Arabidopsis thaliana: one gene and its partner. The protein of the gene in region 2 interacts with the protein of the main gene of each other region in a pairwise test. Each region holds a gene or a part of one and is shown on either strand. Other genes may lie near its edges.

What was found. Proteins that work in one complex are often made in the same cells at the same time.
Region 1: the proteins of MPK10 (region 2) and MYB11 interact in binary tests that used the Arabidopsis thaliana proteins (3 or more experiments, as listed by UniProt).

What each region holds. Positions count from the first base shown.
Region 1 is NC_003074.8:23,151,231-23,159,529, forward strand, and holds MYB11 (myb domain protein 11), read left to right. Parts: upstream 1-3,399; 5' UTR 3,400-3,527; coding exon 3,528-3,660; intron 3,661-4,076; coding exon 4,077-4,206; coding exon of another isoform or gene 4,207-4,210; intron 4,211-4,372; coding exon 4,373-5,141; 3' UTR 5,142-5,355; downstream 5,356-8,299. Other genes in the region: ATERDJ3B (DNAJ heat shock family protein), read right to left, coding at 61-132, 231-308, 395-454, 594-680, 767-883, 1,139-1,250, 1,591-1,726, 1,822-1,970 and 1 more; AT3G62615 (uncharacterized protein), read right to left, coding at 4,130-4,210, 4,592-4,624. UniProt on the Arabidopsis thaliana protein: Modulates overall growth by reducing the proliferation activity of meristematic cells and delaying development. Flavonol-specific transcription activator involved in the regulation of several genes of flavonoid biosynthesis.
Region 2 is NC_003074.8:22,086,609-22,094,903, forward strand, and holds MPK10 (MAP kinase 10), read left to right. Parts: upstream 1-5,791; 5' UTR 5,792-5,839; coding exon 5,840-6,063; intron 6,064-6,335; coding exon 6,336-6,465; intron 6,466-6,555; coding exon 6,556-6,693; intron 6,694-6,776; coding exon 6,777-7,109; intron 7,110-7,201; coding exon 7,202-7,382; intron 7,383-7,456; coding exon 7,457-7,632; 3' UTR 7,633-7,795; downstream 7,796-8,295. Other genes in the region: AT3G59780 (Rhodanese/Cell cycle control phosphatase superfamily protein), read left to right, coding at 298-342, 506-1,513, 1,610-1,710, 1,810-1,924, 2,076-2,153, 2,321-2,413, 2,525-2,608, 2,702-2,800 and 5 more; AT3G59800 (stress response protein), read right to left, coding at 7,989-8,177, 8,271-8,295.

The DNA.
Region 1 (8,299 bases), 1.1 Mb from region 2:
GATAATTGATGGTCATTGTTTCAAGTGTTTTGCGTGTATGGGGAAAGATATTAGTGTTACCTTGGAACTGATGTCAACTTCGTGATCATCCAAGTGTTTGAATGATTTCTCAAAACCAACTAGCGCCTCAACCTGAAGAAAAGAGATTTGGTGGAATCAGAAAAATGAATCAATTGTTGGTCTATGATGTAGAGATACTGATATAAGAGTAGTTTGTTGAATTTATTTACCAGTGTAATGTTCACGTTCATGTGTAGATCGTTGCCATCCCTTCTGAAACGGGCATGTGGTGCAGTTCTGATTCGGAACTGCGAAATGTACAACAATGGTTTATTCTCTCTGATTTTGATGTTTAGTGAAGTCAAGGATAGTGAAATTTAGGGAAGAGGCTAACCTTAAGGTCACCAGGGTCACCGTCAAGAATGGGTTCGCCGTCTTCATAGAAAGACACTTCCTGAAAAGTATTTGGTATTTAGAAACTAAGATCGGAAAAATCGATAAGCTCATAAATAAATCAAAATGAATTAAAGAGCTACTATGAAACGTAGTTTCGATTGATTTTACAATGAGGGTAGTAGAAGTTCGATACTTACTTCTCCATCTTTCATTCCTTTCTCGATATCAACTGTCACAAAGTATCCCTCCCGTTCGTATTTGACATTAGGGCATTTGTCACAGACCTGAGGGGAAGAAGAGGATACGTCGTTAAACAGTAATTAGGTTGGAACAAGACCATCTGTGACAATTGAACATATCCGTCCTTTACCTGCTCTGTCATCTGTTGGAACATTCCAGGACCAATTTGTCTGTGATAGACCTCGTTCCTGCAGTTACACTTTCTCTTTCCAGGAGCTGGTTTTATCACATTCTTTTCCCTCCATACCTGATAGTTCAATGTGGAACATTCTCACTGAGAACTTAATGCAATTTCTTTTATTTGCATTAATGTAAAAAAAAAAACTGTCTACTCTAACCAAAACATCGCCTGAACTGAACCTAAAGAATGTCTGAATGACACTATGAAATCTAGTTTACAAATTTCTATTGATTCTAGTACATTTGGATCAAAGTAACATTTCCCAGATGAGTAACATGTATTAGTGATGACAATAACATCCTGACACGGAGCTTAACATACCTTCATAGAGCCTCCCATGTACAAATCTTCTAGAGTTGCCTCAAGTTCCACAATTACGTCATCCCCCTTGACAACCTTCTCTTCTTCCTCCATCGAACCTCCACCAAAAAACCTATTAAACACATCAATAATCTCTGCAAATTAGCAATCTGCACCCTTTAAACACAAATGTAAAACATTATCCAAATTTAGGAACTATTCACGCTACAGAGTAAAGTCCCTTCTTTAAACACAAATGTAAAACGTTATCCAAATTTAGGAACTATTCACGCTACAGAGTAAAGTCCCTTAACATTACCAAATTCAATTGTATCCACTATCAATAAATAAAACTCACACGAATTCTATGTTAAGATGGGTTCAACAGGATAGAAGATCAGACAGATCCTAGTGACCCTGTATCTTGTACCTCTAGTTGGATCCTAAAGAGTTACCATTTGCAGAAAACTTACGAGCTGAAGATGTCCTGCATATTCATGCCGCCTCCTCCTCCTCCTCTTCCTCCATTTGCAGAAAACTGTTTAAGTCCCTCTTCACCATACTTGTTATATATCTCCCTCTTCTCCTCATCCGATAACACTTCATAAGCTATTACATCAAACACCAATACGTCAATTCTCAAAACTAAAAACGGGTGAGTTAACAAAGAGAGCAGAATCACACAAGTTGCAAAACGAAAATACCATTGTTGATCTCAGCGAATTTGCGAGTCGCTTCCTCATTTCCTTGATTCTTATCGGGATGATACTTCAAAGCTAGTTTCCTATAAGCTCTCTTGATCTGTTCATCAGATGCACCTTTCGGGACTTGCAACACATCGTAGTAACTCTTCCTAAATCCACAACACAGATTTTCTAAGCATTCACATTTTCCACACATTTCTGAAGGAATCGAAAGATGTTCTTACCCGGCAAGGACGCAGATGGCGTAGGAAAGAGCGAACAGTACGATACACAGCTCCGACCACCGAATCGCCATGGAAACGGAAATCGGATCTCTCCCAAGGATTACTCCAACCTGAGATTCGTTTCGATTTTAACAATGAAACCTCACAGAATGAACAAGAACGAAGATCTTCTTCGCTGATTTTTATGATTGGAAAACTCGAATCACTCTCTCTACTTGTTTTCGTGGAAACGATTCCAAAACTCGAGCCTCGTGGTCGGGTTACGTGTACACTGCAATGCTTAACCAATCAGGATTAAGTCTCTGACGATCGTAACCAATAAATATTAGCCACGTGGATAAACCAACGTCGAATCGCTGACTGTTCTTTTCGTCGACTTTAATGAGTACGACGTCGTTATACTCATATAATCTATACAAGGCGCATTAATAATGAAGCGGGCCTGTAACTCCCCTACGATTGTTATTCAATAAATGTGGCCTAACCCGATTAAAAACCCTAGGTTACTGGGCCCATACAAAATCGAGATTGTTTTATGTAAACCGATCTGGGGAGGCCAGATCCAAACTAGTTTTGCATATTTATGCATTATGGATTTTGTACCTACCATATTAAACTTGTTAATATAATGACAAAACCGCTGCTATGAGAAAATTTATTTCTTTAATCTTTATATAATCTAGACTATCTTAGTCACACATTACGTTGTGCATTGGTTAAACACTACTGGAGTATAAAACAAAAAAAGGTGGTTAAGTAATAAATACATATTTTGTTGCTTATTAATTACATGCAAAGAAACATAGACTGGTTTGGACAATCATGTCATATGTCAGGTCTCTTGATTCTTCGCATCTTCGACGAAACATTATTTACTAGACATACAATAATAACTAGACATCTCACACGAGTGGTCCCGATCCCCCACTAATACCATTTTACTGTCCATTGAAAAATAAAGAAACGTTGCTGACAATAGTAAACTAAATAAAATTGGTGTTTACATATTTTCCACGATACGAAGTAAAATATTGAGAAAGTATTACGCTTATGATTTTATTAATTGTTAGATGATTAACTGAATCCGAATTGAGCAGTATGATTAGAAACAAGTCAGAAATAATAAATGTATAACTAGTATTTAAAAAAAAAAAAAATGTATAACTAGTATTTAAAAACTATAGTTAGCATCTAATTAGAGACACTAGGACGACCCAGCTGGACAGCTGGTTAGTAGCTCTCGACCTATGATGAGCGCCTACGACTTTTGTTTCAACATAGACAAACGTGGCTCGTTCTATCACCTGAATATATAACCCACTCCTCTCTATTCTTGCATGTCACTCCTATAAATATTTAATACTAAACCAATCACTTTTTGTTGTGTCGTCACTTTACTTCTCTTTAAATAATCTCTTTCTCTAGTGATTGACTTTAGGAACAAGTGAAGTGAGTGATTTTTAATAATCGCCGGCCGAGAGAATGGGAAGGGCGCCGTGCTGTGAGAAGGTAGGAATTAAGAAGGGGCGCTGGACGGCGGAGGAAGACCGGACTCTCTCCGACTACATTCAGTCCAACGGCGAAGGATCATGGCGTTCTCTTCCCAAAAATGCCGGTAAAGTTTTTTTTATCTATACAGTACTCTGTCTCTCGACTATCGCATGCATCTCATAAGATAGTTTTTTTGTTTGGTCAAAATTTATAAGAGAATCTATATGCATCGAGAAGTTAATTAATCTTACGTACGGTTCAATTATACACCATGAGTTGTAAAAAAAATTAAAATAGAGACTTGATTTTTTTTTTTTCTATTTAATGTATCAGTTTCTATAAGGAATGCATAATATTTTAAAGTACATAAAGTGTTTATTGATAATTCAGACCAAATTGCCTTCTTGTTTTATTTACATGTATATATGGACTGTAACATCACAAATAAAACGATAATTTATTTCAATATTTAGGAAAAGATGAGTAATCGCTGCAGGCATTATTATGCCTTAATTAAAATCTGACGTACATTTTAAAAAGGGCTAAAGAGATGTGGAAAGAGCTGTAGATTGAGATGGATAAACTATTTGAGATCAGACATCAAGAGAGGAAACATAACTCCCGAAGAAGAGGACGTCATTGTTAAACTGCATTCCACTTTGGGAACCAGGTAACTTTTTCATTTGAACAAAAGTTTATTAATGTCGATATATTTCCAATAGAAAAAGTACACTATCACGTGAAATCATAAATCAAACTGTTGCTGTGTAACGTCGTGAAAAAAAACGTTTTTACAACAAAAAATAAGAATAGCGTCAACGCTAATTAAATTGCAGGTGGTCAACAATTGCGAGCAATCTACCGGGAAGAACAGACAACGAAATAAAAAACTATTGGAATTCTCATCTCAGCCGTAAACTCCACGGTTACTTCAGAAAACCAACTGTCGCCAATACCGTCGAGAATGCGCCTCCGCCTCCTAAGCGTAGACCTGGAAGAACCAGCAGATCCGCCATGAAACCCAAATTTATCCTAAACCCTAAAAACCACAAAACCCCTAATTCTTTTAAAGCAAACAAAAGTGACATCGTTTTGCCAACTACGACAATAGAGAATGGAGAGGGAGACAAAGAAGACGCATTAATGGTGTTGTCAAGTAGTAGCTTAAGTGGAGCAGAGGAACCCGGTTTAGGACCATGTGGTTATGGAGACGATGGCGATTGTAACCCAAGCATTAATGGCGACGATGGAGCTTTGTGTCTCAATGACGACATTTTCGATTCTTGTTTTCTATTGGACGACTCTCATGCTGTCCACGTGTCCTCATGTGAGTCGAACAACGTAAAAAACTCTGAGCCATATGGAGGGATGTCAGTTGGGCACAAAAATATCGAAACGATGGCTGATGATTTCGTTGACTGGGACTTTGTATGGAGAGAAGGTCAAACCCTTTGGGACGAAAAAGAGGATCTTGATTCGGTTTTGTCGAGGCTGTTAGATGGAGAGGAAATGGAATCTGAGATCAGACAAAGGGACTCCAACGACTTTGGAGAACCGTTGGATATTGACGAAGAAAACAAGATGGCTGCTTGGCTTTTGTCTTGAAAGATTTGACACCATGCATATGCCTTTTTCTCCGTTAGATTTTAGCAAAGACCCCACGTGGCAGGATCTGGTCGGTTTGTCAATAGAACATGTTTGTCCCCTAGCGTTCGTTTTTTAGTTTTAAATGTATTTATATTCTTTTTTATTTCTTTTCATGTGTAAATACGATTTTGGCGGTGGCAAATAAACAAAATAAAGTCGATCTTCTTAGTTCAATTACATATAAGCGATCCATTGATGATTACACCATTGATAGCCAACTTAAGTAATCTTTCGACTTTCGTATATATGTATACAAATATAATAAGAAATTTAAAATACAAAAAAAATATAAATAAAATTCAGTTCCATATTGTGAATCAGCAATTCTCACTATTGGTACATAGTCCAACACTTGCTAGTTGCATTCTAGGTGGAAGTATTTCAAAGAAACAAGTTTCTCTGATAGACTAATAATAGACCAAAACCCGAGCAAATTTCAAAGCATGTCGCCAACCACAACTCTTTTTTGTGTGTAAATGTTCACTGGTAAAGTGGTAATTAATGAACGTTTTGAATTTTGATTAAAAGCTATAAGACCATCTCCAACGAGAGGATGTAATCAAAAAATTGTTGGGCTCTCTTGTTTAATGACAATAAAAATAAATTAAAACTGATAAAAATCAAGAGAGTCGGCTTTCTGGAGAGAGTTTTGAGAATTTGAGAGAACCGTCGATGTGGCAACATGTGATTGGGTTTTCAATTTCAACAAAAAAATAAATGTGTGCGCGTTCTGTTCTATCTTCTTTCTCCTCTCTGCCCAAACGAAATTGACCAAAAGATGCAAAGCCCAATCATCGTTTCTTCTGAAAACTTTTCGCATTTGATATCTTTTCTTTGAAACTGAAATCAAGATACACAAACTGAAACCAATTTGTTCACCAAAAGAAAATAAAAATGCGTGGGTTTCGATTTCAAAGATATTCAGGAAAAGATCTCCGATAGCTTTCGTCTATGGCAACACTCTTTTCAATTCTGGGTTCGAGCTTCGTGGTTTTAAAAGCTTGTAATTTCGTGTGATCAAGCTCCTGCGACGCCGTTTGATGCGATTCAACTTTGAAAATTTGATGAAAAGCCTCTTGGTTATGCTTCTATTGCTCAGGTATTATAGATTATGGTGGAAACTTAACAATTAAGTAAACATGATTGAGTTAGAGTATTTAGGAGCTTGTAAAGCAGAAGGTCTTGGTGATGGACCCATAATGAAGCTGTATATTTATGTTGTAATTGAGGAAGATAATCTGGTCATAATGCTTTCTAGAATTAGCTACTCTTGCCGTAGAATTATTATCTCTTGACGTGGAATTGTAGCAACATTGTCAAACTCTGGTTATGTTTATACTAAGACAATATCATTTATTTGCTTTCTTAGGTTCACAGAGGAAGTATAAAGGGTAACAAGATGAATGTTGTTGTAAAGGTGAACATTATCGGAAGTTCTAGATGGGGCTGAAGCCTCTGCTCGAGCTATGACAGAGGTCGACCCCAAAGGAATTTTCAAGTCCACGGGTCTGTTTTCCTTTTACTGATCACTCTGTTTTTTTTCCTTTAACTTATCTATGGAGTAAATGTGAAGCCATACTAGTCTCATTTGAGCCCTCTAAAATGCAGGCTATGGTAACTATTTGTTTATGCTTGCTCCGTCAACCAATGAATCATTCAGACAAATGGTCATTTCCGATGCAGTCTCTGTTTTGATGCCGAGGTAACTGAGATTACTTATGGTAACTCTATGGTTCTTGATCATGGTTGGATTGACACTTTGAACAAGAAATGGGATTTGGTTCATTGCATTGAGGTTAGCTTAGGTTTGGCTTTTAATAAAGTTTCTATTTGAGTGGAATTGTAAAATAGAATTGATGTCTAGTACGTGTTTGATGAAATTCCTCTAAGAGTGAACCTTAAATCGTGTGTATTAAGCTTTGTTTCTTGATAAACAACTAATGATTTAGAGTTCTCTTCACGTTATTGTGATGGAAGTTTTATGTTCATACACTCAAATGTTCTTTTATGTTCGAACTCTTTGCTATATATTTGTTGTAACCAAATTTTAACCATAACACTTAAACACATAATCACAAATTTTCAAAACTTTATCTACAAGTTTAAGAAGCAAAACACTTTAACCATAAGTTTAAGAACCAAAATACATAACCACAAGTTTAAAGAACCAAAAAACACTTAAATTTTTGTTCTTTTTTCAAATCTATTTTAAAATGTTTGAAAAATGAAAACAATGTATATTTAATATTTTATGATTTGCAATAATTATTAAGTTTTAGTAAATAAAATAATTTTAAAAGAATAGTTTTTTTCAGAGAACCCCATTAGAGAGAATCTGTCATTGGAATATGAAAAACTAAAAAAAAAATAAGCAAAAGTTCTCTTGTAATTTTTGTTGAAATTTAATCAAAAAAAATTGAGAAAACCTCTCCATGAGCTCTCTCCATTGGAGATGCTCTAAAAGCTTAATAGGAGCCTTGCCAGTTGCCACAACTTATACGACTAATTCAGACTCTCTCGTTTCTTTTAAAAGGATGATATTGTTCCTAAGCGTAGAGTAGACGTTTTAGTAAATAGTAATTGAGGAAGAAACAAAAACACATAACGAGGGTCGCTATCTTTCGCTTAGAAGTACGATTTGGTCCATTGTCATTGTCACTTTTGTAATGCCTCACGTGATGCCATGCACTTTTGTCTCTCTTATTTATTTCCCCTTTTTTTACCGGGTGACTAAATGATACTTCAATACTTATTTACATAGAATAAAATCTTATTAAGTTCATGGGACCGATGGACCATTTCTACGAATTAACCGCAAACTATCGGACGCATTTCATATGCCGACATGGTACTATAGTAGAAGAAAGAAAAACAATTGTAATACAAAATTATGTACATCATATACAGAACTATAAAACGCAGAAAAAATAAATAATACAAAATTGTTTACATCATGTAAATGCAGAAAATGTAAAGCTCTCTAGTACAAACAAATTATTGATGATAATGTTAAATTCCTATTGGTTAACTCATGAGTTAGATTAATAGAAAGTTAGAAACGGTAACTGTATATATACCCAAAATAATGAAATATATCAATAGAAGCAGTAATACGA
Region 2 (8,295 bases):
AAGGTTCCAAACATGCTCAGACTCAGTAATTGAATAATGGGTATTCTTGTTGCAGGTTTCAGACGACACCCATTATTGTAAATCTGCTGCTGGAGTCTTTTTTGTCTGAATCTTCTTCTTGTTGAGACACTGTTTCTTCTTGGTCTGTGATTTTTGTTTTGTTCTCATTAGGACGTTCTTTATTCCGGTTCAGATTTACTGGATCGTCATTTTCTCTTTGAAATTGTATTTTTTTGTTCCTTTTCTGGTATGTTGTGAAAGCTATGAGATTGCTGTAAGAATCCAAGACTGACCAACATGTTTCCCCTGTGCTCGGCCACAAGCTGCCGTTACCATTCTCAGGTTAGATTTTCTTTATAGAAGTGAAAGTAAATAAGCTAACTGGTAGCAAATTTATTGAAGTCATCCAATTTGAGCTATGGGTGTTACGCTTTGTTAGTGCTTTGGGTTTTTGGATTCATTTTCATAGATAAGTAAGTACCTCATAACGGGTTTGTTTCTGCAGATTTTATTTCCTGGCAATTGGCGAGGCTGTTCTTCCTTCAGGAGAGAGTTGATTCACAGATACAGTTCAGGTGACAATGCCTTCTTTGGTATCTCTAATGGAACACGCCTGCAGAAGAGTTTCGTACCTCAAGCCACTGGGAGTTTCTTGACCGGTACTATCGAAAAAACAGAACAACCAGTATCAACATTCGGAAGTTTGTGCCAGAATGAGTTGGACAGAATAAACTACATGGTTTATAACATGAGTGAAGCTTTTGTAGCGAGTGATGAGGGACTGACATATGTAGAAAATGGAGAAGATGTGTTCCCTGTTGAAGCTGTTGCAGCAGATGTTTCTCCTGTTGAAGCTGTTGTACCAGATGTTTCCCCCATTGAATGCCTTTCTGCTGAGACTTTAACCGATAAGACCAGTAGCCTTATAGACTCTGTTGAATCGGGAACCAATGCGACTGTTAAAATATCTCCGGATAGTTCAGTCTCACTTCCTGATGCGAAAGCTAGCTTTGATGACTTTTCTTCTGGGCTCAAGCAGTCCTTCAGCTCTTCACTTCCTGATGCGAAAGCTAGCGTTGATGACTTTTCTTCTGGGGTCAAGGAGTCCTTCAGCTCTTCACTTAACCAAGGAGAAAATGCTGTAAAGAACACTTTGGAGTCCTTCTCCTCGTCTGTGACATCCATTACAAAGAATGCTTCTGAAGTTGTAGATAGTGCAGTTAACAGAGCGTTTTCTACGCTAGACCAAACGGGAGATGTAGCTGGAGACAAGTTTTCGAGTTTTTCTACTGGCTTGAAGGAAGCTTCAAACAGAGCAGCTGTTATTGCCATTGATCTGCTGAGGCAATCAGTTAGTCTTGGAGAGAGATCTGTAACAAATGGAGTTTCTTTTGTTGTGTACTCTTATGGATCAGCAAAAGAATTACTTCCTCCAGATGTAAAGAGTGCCCTTAACTCGTCAGAAGATGTTGCTCTAAAAGTATTGAGTCCCGTGGGAGCTGTATTGCAGCAGGTGCTTTGTCTTATATACTGAAGGTTCATTCATATTTTCGTAGAAGAAAATTAATTCTTTATGGACTACAGTTGCTAACAGTATCATGATGAACAGGTATCTGTTGCCATTGGAGGTTTGGAGAGAAATATCGGTTTGGATCCAGATGACCCAATCCTTCACCTTTTTCTCTTCGTAGGCACCACAGGAACCTTTTGGTACACGGCTTTTCTTACCCTAGAAGGATATTAAACTTGCTTTTCTTGAGAGGACAATGTAGTATAGAAGAATTTATATTTTCCACCAGATATTTGCAGGGTTCTATATCGGGTTTGGACATATGGTGGATATGCTGGAGATTTGTCTCCCAAGTCAACTCTGGACCTTTTAAAATCAAGAGACAAGTCAGTGCTCATAGATGTCAGGCCTGAAGTAAGACGCTCTTAAGTTTCTAACAAGTTCCCATTTCATGATATATAACTTTTCAAAACCCACCACAATTTGATTATTTCTTTCACATAATGTTCATCAAGGAGTTTGGGTTGAAATAAAAATGCTCATTTTGGCTACTGTCTTTTTGAAGGCCTTGAGAGAGAAAGATGGAATACCTGATCTGCGGAGATCAGCTCGATTTCGATATTCTAGCGTGACACTGCCTGAGGTTGGTTTTAGCATCCTCATTGTTGTTGACCACAGCGAATATAGAAACTCTACACATGTAATCTATGAACACAACGAGGTTTCAGCAATCAGTGCAACAGAAGTAGGATATCAGACTTTTCTTTATTCACATTTTTTATGGGTTCTTGTTCTTGATTCATGTTTAAGGTTGACGGTGATGTCAAACGGCTACTGAAAGGTGGAAGTGAAGTAGATGATATCTTGACAGCAGTAATCATCAAGAACTTGAAAATAGTTCAGGTGTGCTACCTTCATGCTTCTTTTGTAACTTACTATGGTTTTGTGGCTCGAGCTGTTTCAGTTTCTAAGTATGCTGACATCTCATAATTTTGCTTACTCTCCCACTAATAGGACAGGTCCAAGGTTGTTGTTATGGATGCTGATGGAACTCGTTCAAAGGGTATTGCAAGAGCCCTGAGAAAAGTTGGGATTAAGGCAAGTCATTCAGGCATAATTCACTTTGAACACAATAAGTTACCTTTAAACATTTTCGAATAAGCTCTTCTTTGGTTGCCTATGATGTGACAGAGGCCATACTTGATGCAAGGTGGGTATAGATCATGGGTACAGGAAGGTCTTCGTGTGAAAGAGCCAAAACCTGAGACAACACTTACCATCCTCAACGAGGTAATACCATATGAATACAAATATGTTTGGACTGTTTCTTCAGCTAGATGAAATTGAAACTGCTCTCAAATCTTTTCATCAGTAAGTTAAACATATCTTAAATGCTTTTCAGGAAGCTGAGGCGATTTTTGAGGACATAAATCCCTCTCCATTGCAACTATTTGGAGTTGGTGTGGTATGCTTCTAGTTCTATTTTTCTATTTCCGTTTAATAATAATCCCATCCTGACTAATATAAGAAGATATATGCAGGGTTTTTTCGCAGCATTGTATGCTTTGTCTGGTGCGTTTAATTCTTTCTCATTTCCCCTTTAGAATATCTCATATTCTCCACAACACACAAGCTCCTCACATCCACGTTTTGCACTAACATGATTGCTCTATCTCTCGCAGAGTGGGAGAAAACACTGCAACTCATAGCTGTCATCGGCCTTAGTCTGGTATATACTAGCCTTTCCAGTTTCTAAGTTTTGTCAAATTATAGTTGCTTTGTTTTGTTTTTCAAGTTTCAAACATTATGCAGACTATATACCTACGACTTTCTTCATATGATGACTCCGAAGACTTCAAACAAGACGTCAGGTATAAAAGCGCCATCATTAGACCCTTTTTCCATAGCAAAAACTCAGCGAAACCTCTGTTCTGTCTTAACAAAGATTGTTTCATCTTCTTCTTCAAGGCTGTTGCTTGCACCTGTGAAACTCGGAGCTCAGGCTTTCTCGTGGGCTGCAGGAAAACTAGAAACAAATGGTGTTGGCCTCCCAACTTCGCCTTCTTCTTCAGATGTTCGAAGCCGGGTTTTGCAAGCTGCTGCTAAGCATGAATCGAAACCCTCTGATGAAACTTCTGAAAGTCTCCAAGATGCATCATCGTCACCAGAAGAAGCTTTGAACAACGTTGATGTCTCCGAAGCGTAAAGACTCTGAAAATTGTTTTCTATTTTTCTTATAATTGCCAAGAATTACTTTTGTTCGTCTCTTGGAACCGTTAACATCGGCAACAGAAAAAGTGTAATAAAAAAAAACTGTTTTCTTTTCGTTCGGATGCTGAGATTTGTTTTGCAAATTTAGAACTAGCTAAATTGGGTCAAAAGTTATAGGTTACACGTAAAATTATTACAGCAATTTCTCCCCTAATAACTTTGGGCTTTAGGCCCAATAACAGAAGGCCTTAAAGTGGCATACTTAGGGTTTAGTGAAAAAGCAATCGTCATCCTTGACTCAGGGGTCAGGTCAAATCCAGGAGAAGAAGAGGTAATCATTCTACACAGATAGAAACATTTATTTTTTGTTTAATCAAAAGCTAACATTTTGTTGTGACAGTTCTCGTGTTTTCTTAATATAGATGGCAAGACTGATAATCGTGCCAGAATCCGTCTTATTAATCAAGACAAGAACAAATACAACACTCCAAAGTATCGGTTTGTTGTTAGATTTGTATCCTTTTAATTAGTTCATCACATTCCCAGTTGTTAGTGGTGTCTGTTTACATTCTTCCTATCGAGTTTTGTTTGGCCTTGAATGTGAGGAAAGCTAACTTGATTGACCGTATTCGTACACTTCACTCAGCTGCTGAAGCCATATCAATGAAGTTGACGACGAGTGAAAACGTTTCTTCTCTTTAAAAAACTGTATTTCCATCTAGTTTTGATCTTACTTTCGTGGCTTTGAATTTTTACTTTTCATATAGCATCGTTATATTACTCTTTACCTAATTTCCCTACTGTACTTGTGAATTTTCCCGTCGACGTATGTGCAAGTTACTAATTTTATGCAAGTTGTGAATTTGCAAGCGTTTTAATTTCTAAACGAAAGAATACTAATCAGAAACTTAGAAAATTTGACAAGATTAACTAAACATTGTATATGTCTATCGACCACTACTACATTATTTCAATGTGTAAGCATATTTTTTATCATTTAAAATGAAAAACAGAATGGACAATGATAAATCAACGAACGACATTAGCAGAAGTGTGTGGTGTTTCTATTTATCAGCACAAATAGAAAACAATGATAAAATACAGAAGTGGTGATGCAGTGGATTTATCATTTGATTGCTGGACTGTCATTTTTGTTATTAAATCTTATGAACTTTATTTTTTTCTTATAAATATATTATATATAACACATTTAACTAAATTAGATCTCATAAATTTGTTGTAGATTTTTTTTTTTTTTTTGCTATTCCCAGCAATCTACTTAAAAACGAATCCCATCATCACCCAAACATGCTAAGTGTAGCAGAAGGGATAATATTTTGTAGGTAAGGAAACAAATATTTTATTAACCTGTAAATAAAAAATGAAAACCAATTATACACATATTTAAAAACTACCAAACTTAGTATAGTATTATTTTTTTTAAAAAAAATTATAATAACAAAATAATAATAATAATAAATGGTAAGACTTATTTTGAATTATGTTTATTAATAATATTTTTGAGGTTTCTTTGTAAGTGATGGTGATTACATAGAAACTTCATATCAAATATCTATATATTTTAAAATTTCAAGTAAATTGATTTTTCAAAAAATATTATTCTATACTAAATTTAAAGTATATGAAAATACAGAAAATTGTTTACAAAAATGAACACAAATTAGGAAATGAATATGAAGAGTATGTATCCAAATTGTATTGCCATGTTTGCATTTAATTTAAGAGGGTGTATGAAAAGCAAAAAATCTTCTTCTAACAACTTACCTAAAATCATCTCACTTATACACTTCCATAAATTAATTAGTTTTTTTGTATTCATTAGCTGGAAATATATTAAGATTATTTAGTTTTTTTTTTTCCATATGGAAAAGGAAATTCACAGCAGAATTCCTATAAGTTAAAAAAACTTACCTTAAAACTATCAAAATATATCAAAACTCATATCTCCTGGGTCCTCCTGGACCTGGACTTAAACATCCATACTTACACATATCCACTCTATATAAGTTTAGTTCACTACCACTAAACCCAACCAAAGCAAAAACATCACTTCTCTCAACAGAATAGTTTGAGGTTGTGTGAGACAAAAAGAAAACCATGGAGCCAACTAACGATGCTGAGACATTGGAAACTCAAGGAGAGGTTACAACCGCTATTTGGCCGTCATCTCAAATCCTCAAGACGACTATCGATATTCCGGGGACTCTCAGCCATGACGGCAGATACATCCAGTACAATCTATTTGGGCATATCTTTGAACTCCCCGCAAAGTATAAGCCACCGATTAGGCCTATTGGCAGAGGTGCTTGTGGCATCGTTTGGTAATATCCTTTTAACAGAATTAATAGTTTCATTTCTTTTCCTAATCATTTTGAGCACTTTAGAATGTAGATGCCATGACCATTTTTGTGTGTAATTTATGGTTTGGGTTGATAAGTTTCATCTTTTTATGAGAAAAGTTCAAATCGTTTCTATCATAGAGATCTCTAAACAGTTATTATACCATTCATGACTTTTATGTTATTCTTGTTACTTTTAAAATTTCCTCACTTGACACATTAGTTTTTACTTTTCTTTTTAACTTTTTTTACAGTTCGGCTGTGGACTCCGAGACCAATGAGAAGGTAGCAATAAAGAAAATAACGCAAGTATTTGATAACACTATCGAAGCAAAGAGAACTCTTCGTGAAATCAAGCTTCTTCGTCACTTCGATCATGAGAATGTTCGTTTGATTTTATAACTATTGTCTCACCTTTTTTCTTTTATTTTGTTATTCATTAAAAGCTAACTATGTAATATCATTTTTCTATAGATTGTTGCAATCAGAGACGTAATCTTGCCTCCTCAGAGAGATTCATTCGAAGATGTTTACATTGTGAATGAATTGATGGAGTTTGACCTTTATCGAACCTTAAAATCAGATCAAGAACTAACCAAAGATCATGGCATGGTGTGTGTTTAGAGTTATTGTTTCTTGAAACTTAAAAATCATTTTGATTAGTGAGCTTGACACAATCTTCAAATTTTTGGCAGTATTTCATGTACCAAATCCTGCGCGGATTAAAGTACATTCATTCAGCCAATGTGCTACACAGAGATCTAAAACCAAGCAATCTCCTCTTGAGTACACAATGTGACTTAAAGATTTGTGATTTCGGGCTCGCTCGTGCAACTCCTGAGAGTAATTTAATGACTGAGTATGTTGTCACAAGATGGTACCGTGCACCTGAGCTTCTGTTGGGCTCTTCTGACTATACCGCAGCAATAGATGTTTGGTCTGTTGGCTGTATTTTCATGGAAATAATGAACCGTGAACCGCTCTTCCCGGGGAAAGATCAAGTTAATCAGCTTCGTTTGCTTCTGGAGGTAGTAAAGTAAAACCCTTTGTTGTGCCAAGATCATATTCGTTTTTTGTGATTCATGATTAGCTTAAAAAGTCTTGGGACATTGTTTTGCAGCTCATTGGCACTCCATCTGAAGAAGAGCTTGGATCGTTGAGTGAATACGCTAAGCGATACATAAGGCAGCTTCCTACGCTTCCTCGCCAATCTTTCACTGAGAAATTCCCGAACGTGCCTCCCTTAGCAATAGACTTGGTGGAGAAGATGCTAACATTTGATCCTAAACAGAGAATCTCAGGTCAGTTTCTGTCTCCATATAGCCTCTTCTGCAGTTTTATTTGGATTCTTATCATCAGTTTTGCCACTTTGCAGTTAAAGAAGCACTTGCTCATCCATACCTTAGCTCGTTTCACGACATTACCGATGAACCAGAGTGCTCAGAGCCCTTCAATTTCGATTTAGATGAACATCCATTCTCTGAGGAGCAGTTTAGAGAGTTAATCTACTGTGAAGCCCTAGCTTTCAACCCTGAAACCAGCAATGATTGAAAAGGACCATATCTTTGATCCTTGTTCTGTTTTTTTCTTTTCCTTCTCTGCTTTTCTTTGAATAATTTCCCTTTTCATTTCCTTTAATTTTTTCATCTCTCAGAAATTTTGTTGTGCTAAGATTTTCTGCTAGATTCCCTTTTGATGTTGTCAAATTTCATTTTTAAGCAAATAAACTGAAAAACCATGATTCTGTGGGCATCATTGCGACTTTCAATCCAACAAATATTAATACATGAGCTATTGTCAAAAATATAACATTGCAACAAGGAAGAAAGCAATCATATCCTACTTTGAGTATTTTGATTGAAGACAATCTTACTCTTTGTAATAGTTCATTTGCAGTTTTGCTTTTGTCAATTCTTCAAATTGCCAAAGAATCTAGAGAGTGGTACAGGGCCATCGGTTTCGTGTTTACTTTTGCTAGAGTGTTTGTCTCTGCTGGACTTGTGCTTCTTCTCCTTCTTTGATCTTTTCGAACTTGATCTTGATCTTCTAGATTCATCTTCATCACTGCTAGATGACGACTCTGAGGACGAATAATGCTGCAAATTCATAACACAACCGATCATGGTTCATGTTAGCATAAGCTAGAAAACCTCACACTATCTGATATAAGCTAAACTTTTAGAAGGCACCTTTCTCTTTTTGCTTTTCTTCTTC